Linked DNA regions of Canis lupus familiaris. The protein of the gene in region 1 binds, or shares a complex with, the protein of each later gene. Links are inferred from orthologs where the notes say so. Each region holds a gene or a part of one and is shown in the gene's direction. Other genes may lie near its edges. The genes, in order: NDUFAF1 and COA1.

Region 1 (3,816 bases):
AAAATCCAGCGTAAAAATTTGCTTTAAGATTGACACAACCTTATGAAGTGCATAACTGAATTATTTTGGGGTCAATAATTAACTCTGTGAAGGGGGTCTTTGTTTTTTTGCCTGTTGGTGTTTTTTCACAAGGCAGTGGGATGCTTCACGTACAGCACAAACAATATTCTGCTCATAATAGGCTCTGGGTAAATGTTTACAGAATTAGAAAATAAGTTGCTGAATTTCACAACGCAATCTGTGTTGCATTTGAAATTGTGATGCATTCATTGCTACCCTGGTAACTGTTCAATGTCTTTTCTGTTCTAGGTGCAATTGTGGTGTTAGAAGCTTCTTTCCATTATAGCCCAGGGAGAAATTTACATTTGGACTTTATCGTACCATGGCTTTGGTTCTCAAATTTCTGAATGGTACTTATATTTTCAGAAAATGCCCAAAGCCAAATGTTGCCTCATGTCCATTTTTGGGTACTCATTTTGTAGACTATTGTTCTAGTAGTCTTCAGAAGCCTGTAGCTGCTCCTGGCAAAACCTCCTCTCAGAGGAATTCTGAAGGAGATTTGCAGGGACATCACCAGAGAGAAGCTGCTTTGGATATAACCTCTCCTGAGGAGAAGCCTTTAGTTAGTTTTGATAAAGCAATTAAAGATGAAATAAAGGACCAGTTTAGGCGTTTGAAGGATGATATTGTGAATCATTGGATAGGCCCCGAAGGCCGCCCTCTGCATGAGGTCTTGTTGGAACAAGCCAAGGTTGTCTGGCAGTTCCGAGGAAAAGAAGATTTAGATAAGTGGATGGTGACTTCTGATAAGACTATTGGAGGCAGAAGTGAAGTGTTCCTGAAAATGGGCAGGAATAATCAGAGTGCATTGCTCTATGGGACTCTGAGCTCTGAGGCACCTAAGGACGGGGAAAGTGGCCGCAGTGGGTACTGTGCAATGATATCCAGGATTCCAAGGGTAAGTGAAGCCCCAGAGCCTGTTTTCTAGTGAACTGGGGTGAATTTCATTGTAGCATGAACCGTAGCATATGGGTTTTGTTTCTGTAAATCAACACACCTGGCAGGTCATTTGTGAATGGGGTTAAGTAACTACTGGGCACATGTGTAAAGCAGAAGCATAAGGGGGAAGTGGTTCCTGAGAACCAGAATGGGGCCGTTCTTATGTTTGAGGAGCCCTGAGAAGTCAGACATTTAAACAGTTGATTTGGGGAGATTTCCCTAGTAGGCCACACACCCTGTGATGGCCAGAGGTTCCTTAGAGCAGATGTAGGTTCAGCCTGTTGCTTTTTTTTTTTTTAAGTAAACTTTTTATTTTAGGATAGTTTTAGTTTTACAGAAGAATTGTACAGATAGTACAGAAAGTTCCATATGCCCCTCATTCATCTTCTCCAACTCTTGCCACCTTACATTGATGTAATACATTTGTCACAACTGAGAAACCAACATTGGCGGATTCCTCTTAATTCCAGACACTATTTGGATTTCACTAGTTTTTCTGCTTAAGCCCATCTGGGACACCACATTACATCCAGTTGTCATGTTTCCTTAGGCTCCTTAGTCTCCTGGTCTGTGATAGCTTTTTAGTCTTTCCTTATTTTTCATGAGGATTGAGAAATTCTAGTCTGGTATTTTGTGGACTGACCCTCAATTTGGGATTTTCTGATGTTTTTCTCCCTGTAAGACTGGGTTTCTGGGCTTTTAGATAGAATACCACAGAGTTGAAATACCCTTCTCATCACTCCTATTGGGTACATGCTACCAACATGACTTAACACGAATGTGTTCGCCATGATCACCTGGCCAAGATAGTGTTTGCCAGGGTACTCCATTGTTAAGTTACTATTTCCCCTTCTTTTCATACTTTGTTCTGTAGAAGCAAGTCAGTAAGTGCATCCTACATTCAAGGCATGGGGTAGGGCATGGGTTTAAGTTGTATCTTGTGAAAGGGTGGAATTTACATAAATTATTTGGGATTCTTCAAAGAGGAAAATTTTTTTCTCCCACATTTTTTATTTAGTTAGGCAGTCATTTTGTATGGACTCAAAAGTCTGGTTATAATCCAATACTATGTTTTTTATTTTGTTGCTCAGATTCTTCCAGCTTTGGCAATTGGCAGCTCTTTCAGGTTGGCTTTTGTCCCTTTGACATGCCTCCATTTTTTTGTTTGTTTGTTTGTTTTTTAGTACTTTCTTGCACTACAAGATATGCTCTAAGCACATCTTGTATTTTCTGTAGAAAATTCCATAGAATTAGCCATTTCTTGAAAAAGCCCTGATTCTTCTTTTTGGAGATCTAGGCACTGGTTTGTTTGTTGCTACTGGGTTGACATTACTTCCAGGACCTCTCAGTGGCCTCAGCAGGAAATACAGGGATGTGTACCAACCCTTTGGAAACATGTCTGTAATTATTTCTATATCTGTAGTAAACTAAATATGAGTTTATACTGTGCTCGAACTCTAATCCAGTAGTACCATGTGGTTCATTCTGGGCTTCTCCCTCTTATCTATAATTTTCTTCTCTGATAGTGAGAAATCTGTCTCCCATCACTTGCCATCATTTTACCTATTGATTCATCCCCAGTGTATGTAGGAAGCAGTTTCAGAACTTTTAGCCCATAACTCTGTGAGAAACCATTTTACCAACCAGAATATAGTGTTTATATATAGTTTCTTTGTCTTTAGCCTTATAGTTTCTAATCAGAGCAGTTTTCCACAGTTACTTAGATTGGCTTCTTTGTCTCATCATCAACTTACGGCTTTTTGCAAATTTGCTGTTGAGGTGTTGTTCCAGGGCTGCCTGGACAAGCTTCCATGCCTGGCCTCGGCCACAGCCCTGGGGTATTTGCTTGGGCATTGTGCTTTACAGAGAAAGGCAAATGATAGGGATGGTCTTAGGCTCCCTCCTTCCAGATGAGAAAGAAAGGTATGTGTTCTTTCAGAGACCTATGCGTACAAAGGGTGTGTGTGTGTGTGTGTTTCAGTGCCTGAAATCCACAGAATGGATTGGTCATTCCACAGTAGAAAATACTTCTATAGCTAGATACACCTGGGGGGTATTGCAAATAGGTGATAAAATTTATTAAGTGTGCCCTGCCAGTCCTTGTGCTACTTCATATACATTTACGTATATACATCCCTTTAATTCCTCACAACTATCCTCTAAGGTATGGTCATCCTTATTTTACAGATGAGGAAACTGAGGCTTTGGGAGATTTAGTAACTTGACTAAGGTTATACAGCTAGTTGAGGCACCTAGGTGGCTCAGTTGGTAGAGCAGTGGACTCTTGGTTTCGTCTCAGATTATAAGGGTGAAGTTGGCCTGTCTTCCTCCGTCCCCCTTTCCTCTTCTTCCCTCCCCTCCCACTCACATGTACGGTGTGTGCAGACTTTCTCTCTTTAAAAAAAAAAATTTAAAAAGACAGCTAGTAAATAATAGTTCATATGTGAGTATTCTTGAAATCAGATTATTTTTGCGATTGGTATAAACAAACACCTTTGTTAATTAATACTACAATTCACTTCTCCTGAGACAGTATAGGTAGTTGTTAAGAATACAAATTTTGGGGCAGCCCCAGTGGCACAGTGGCTTAGCGCCGCCTGCAGCCCAGGGCGTGATCCTGGAGACCCGGGATCGAGTCCCACATCAGGCTCTCTGCATGGGGCCCGCTTCTCCCTCTGCCTGTGTCTCCTCTGCCTCTGTCTCCCTTTGTGTGTGTGTGTGTGTGTGTGTGTGTGTGTGTGTGTGTGTGTGTTTGTGTATGTGTATGTGTGTATGTGTCTCTGGAAAAAAAAAATACAGATTTTGGAGTTAAATGGC
Region 2 (3,816 bases), on another chromosome or scaffold:
GAGGGAAGGGGAATACCAGATGGTTCACAGGTGGGGAAAACTGGCTGATTCTCAAGTGTCGTCAGCCTGTTTGCCCTGCCATTCTCTGCTATTGATTTAGTGGAGGAGGGGACCTTGAGCAAGAGACTTTGGTGAGAGCAGAAAATAAAAGCAGGGTCCAGAATGCAAAATCCTGACAGATGCCACGTCCAGCCCCACTGCAACCAAATTTGAATTTGTAAAGACAGGCCACAATTACTGTGGACAGCCAAGGCATTTAAGGTCATTTTAATGCTGCTGGTTGCAAAGCAGCAGCAGTTTTTTTTTTTTTTTTTTCCAAGACTGACTTTCTTTGAAGATCCTTTATGCCTGTCGAGCTTGGCTTCTCACTCTGACTCTGTGCCATTTTCACTTCCTGCCAGGATGTGAGTATTACCAGCAGACAGGCAATGAGAGCTCAGTGTCCTCTGCATACATTGTTCCCCATCTTCCTTCAGAGTTGGCCCACAGGTCTCAGAGTCTTGAGGTGACCTGAGATGAGCACCGCCAGGGATAATTCAGACTGGAATAGCTCAGTCTCCTCTCCCCTTTTGCCACGGGGATGGGGGCAGGACACAACACGAATGGGTGCATTTTAGGGGTTGGGAGACTGCCTGCCTTTCCTTCTTAGAAGGCTGGAGTCATCCAGTAGAGACACCCCAGCTGGTACCTGTAGCCACCCTCCTGAGTTGAATCCCAGCTCCAGCTCTGCACTGTGTGGCCCTGTGGGAGGATCTCTCACCTCAGTTATCTGTGCAATGAGAGATAATATTAGTGCCTGTGCATGAAATTGTTGTAAAATAAAATCTCACAACCTGTGATCTATTGAGCCCTGTGAGACACACGAAATATTGAGAACAGTGTCTAGCCATGAAAATCTGGAGCCAGCCTTCACTGCTCCTCTTCTTGTCTTGGCTGGCACCTGTTCATACCTGCAGCATCCCCTACAAGCCCACTCCTGGGATGCAGCCTGCGAGGGGTATTCTCCTTGGCCCCTCCAGGCTCAACGTGTCTTTCTGTCCCAAAATTGAGGTCAGGCCTATAGGAAGGAAGCTCTTTCTTGTTGCCAAACTGAAAACCCTACTTGGGAAGCCTACTCTTGCTCTTTCCCAGGGACAGCTTGTCTATCTTACACCTTCAGGGAGGTGCTTCTACTAGTAGCCTTTGGACCAAGAAGTGTACCTACGACTGAGGACAATTTAAAGGCTTTACCTACATGAAATGTTACCTTAAATCTATAAACATGATTTAAAAAAAAAATCTATAAACATGATGGGCAGCCCGGGTGGCTCAGCGGTTTAGCACCGCCTTCAGCCCCAAGCGTGATCCTGGAGACTGGGATTGAGTCCCAAGTCAAGCTCCCTGCATGGAGCCTGCTTCTCCTTCTGCCTGTGTTTCTCTCTCTCTCTCTCTCTCTCTGTGTCTCTCATGAATAAATAAATAAAATATTTAAAAAAAAAATCTATAAACATGACAAATTAGCATTTTCAGTTTCTGTTTCTTGGCCCAAGGGTTTTGTGTGGTCCTTTTTTTTGCCAGTTTATCAGGACCTTCATCTTAGTGGAGGGAGCAGTGTTTAAAAGTTCAGAGTCATAGACTGTGGCCACAGCTCTGCCTTGGGCTGTGTCACTTTGAGCCAGTCATGGAATCATATGACTTTAGAACTAAAAGGAAAACTGGAGAAGCTCCAAGCCAATCCCTTGATGAAGAAATGAGGCAATGCGTGAGGCAGGAAACAGGAGATGGAGAGATTGAGGCATAGGACTATCAAATACCTTGCTCACGTTCATCTACCATATTCCTGCAGATACTGACTTTTTCTAAAATGGACAGCTTAACAGTGGATGGTCCCTAATTATTTTTCTTTTTTTCTTTTTTCTTTTTCTTTTTATTTATTTATGATAGTCACAGAGAGAGAGAGAGAGAGGCAGAGACACAGGCAGAGGGAGAAGCAGGCTCCATGCACCGGGAGCCCGACGTGGGATTTGATCCTGGGTCTCCAGTATCGCGCCCTGGGCCAAAGGCAGGCGCTAAACCTCTGTGCCACCCAGGGATCCCCCTAATTATTTTTCCATCCAGAAATTTCACATTTGTTTCTGTTTCCATGCTGTACGTGAATTGTGTCCTCTGACTTTCTGCAGAGAGTCTACCAAGTTGAAAAAAGAAAAATAAATATATAACAACTGTCTTTCCCCTTTAGAAGCTTTCTCCAAGGCTTCCTATTACCAGCTGGCATTGGAGCAGCTGCACAGCCGCCCTGAGGCCCTGGAAGCCCTGGGCCCTCCTCTCCACATCCACTATCTCCACCTCACTGACAAGTACAACTTTGTGGACATTGCTGATGCCCAGGTAATGTGCTTCCCGTGCAGACTCAGGCTGAGTGCCTATCAAAGTCGAGGAGAGGGCTCCCACCATCTGGGGGGAGTCTAGGAGGAATCTGGAATAAGATTTTATGAGAAAATTCACTGAGCAAAACTGCCCCTAGGTTTTACTGAGCACTTCTGAAGGCTGTATGGGTTAATTTATTCTCCTATATTTTTCTTCCTTTCTGAGGAATTAATGGTGCAGGGAAGGAGGTGTTCTGGCTCAGGTCACCATCTTGACCTGAAGGTTGTAGGGAAGTGAGTGTGGTGGTGGAGCCACAGCTTCAGCTTTGAACTTGAAGTACATCCACAGCCAGTCAGTGCTCATTCAAATATGAGCAACTCTGGAAACTGTAGTTTTGCTGCCCATTTATTTGCATTGCTTCTATGGGAAGCCAGTCCCATTTTCTCAGTTGCATCTGATGTTCTTTTATAGTTCAGCCAGGAAAATCAACCTGACAACTATGTTTTGAGTTCATGTCAAATTAAAGGAATGATTCTATGCTGCGTGGGGAATATAGAGATGCAGGCTTTCAAGGACTATAGCTTAAAACTTCCAAGTAAGGCAGAGTGAGGCAAGTGCTGTCGTAGTGGCTCCGGAGGGAGCAGGTATTGACCTGGAATATTGTCGTAGAAGAAAGGAATGCCAGGCCCAGGCGCAGCATGCACGTGAAGGCATGCCGCCGTGTTTCCTGCCAGGGTGAACTCAGTGGAGGTACAGGCTGTGGAGGGAGATGTGGGTAGCTGGGCTGGGCTGGGCTGGGCTGCAGGGCCGTGACATCATCATGTGAAGTGTGCACACTTGATTCTGGGGCCAGCAGAAGCTGGAAGGATTTTAATGATAAGAGCAAGATGACCTAATCTAGTTTTTTGGGGGGTTATTGTTTTTATGAATTTTTTAATGGGAATTGTTTCATTGGGATATTTTTCTTACAAAAGCTATTCAAGCTCAAGTATTTTGATAAAGTATTTGATCTGGCTTTAAAAGAAAGCAAATTCAAGCTGATTGATGATATCCAGGGAACAGGTATGGGGAACTGCCTTTAGGAAAGCAGCATCGCCATGCAGATGTGCAGTGGTGAGAGCATGGGCCAGAGCTGTGGCTTGGTTCTGTCAGGAGAGGGTGGGTCAGAAGTGATGCTTTCATGTCCAACCTGGGTGAATGGAAGGGTGGCAGTACCACTAGGCAAGAGGAGGAGCCCAGGAGGAGAAAAGGGAAGGGGCGGACAGGTGCAGAGTGCCAGATGGCCTTCTGTGCACTGTCGTCAAGCCTGTCACAACATGTGGGATGGCTCTTCTGGCTGTTCACTGTGTCTGCAGCACAGAACACTGGGTCTGCTTTTGATGCTTGGGCTCGGGAAGGCTGCAGGCGCCTTTGCTGAGGGCAGGTTGACACAGCATCAGTTCTCTGCTCTGGTGCCCTGATGAGTGGTTG

What was found.
Region 2: NDUFAF1 (region 1) and COA1 share a complex: the UniProt entries of both Homo sapiens proteins name them as parts of the mitochondrial complex. The link is inferred for Canis lupus familiaris from reciprocal best matches to the Homo sapiens genes NDUFAF1 and COA1.

The regions. Positions count from the first base shown.
Region 1 is NC_049251.1:8,740,399-8,744,214, reverse strand, and holds part of NDUFAF1 (complex I intermediate-associated protein 30, mitochondrial), read left to right. Parts: intron 1-309; 5' UTR 310-382; coding exon 383-958; intron 959-3,816. UniProt on the Homo sapiens protein: As part of the MCIA complex, involved in the assembly of the mitochondrial complex I.
Region 2 is NC_049239.1:6,682,293-6,686,108, forward strand, and holds part of COA1 (cytochrome c oxidase assembly factor 1 homolog), read left to right. Parts: intron 1-2,218; coding exon 2,219-2,367; intron 2,368-3,816. UniProt on the Homo sapiens protein: Component of the MITRAC (mitochondrial translation regulation assembly intermediate of cytochrome c oxidase complex) complex, that regulates cytochrome c oxidase assembly.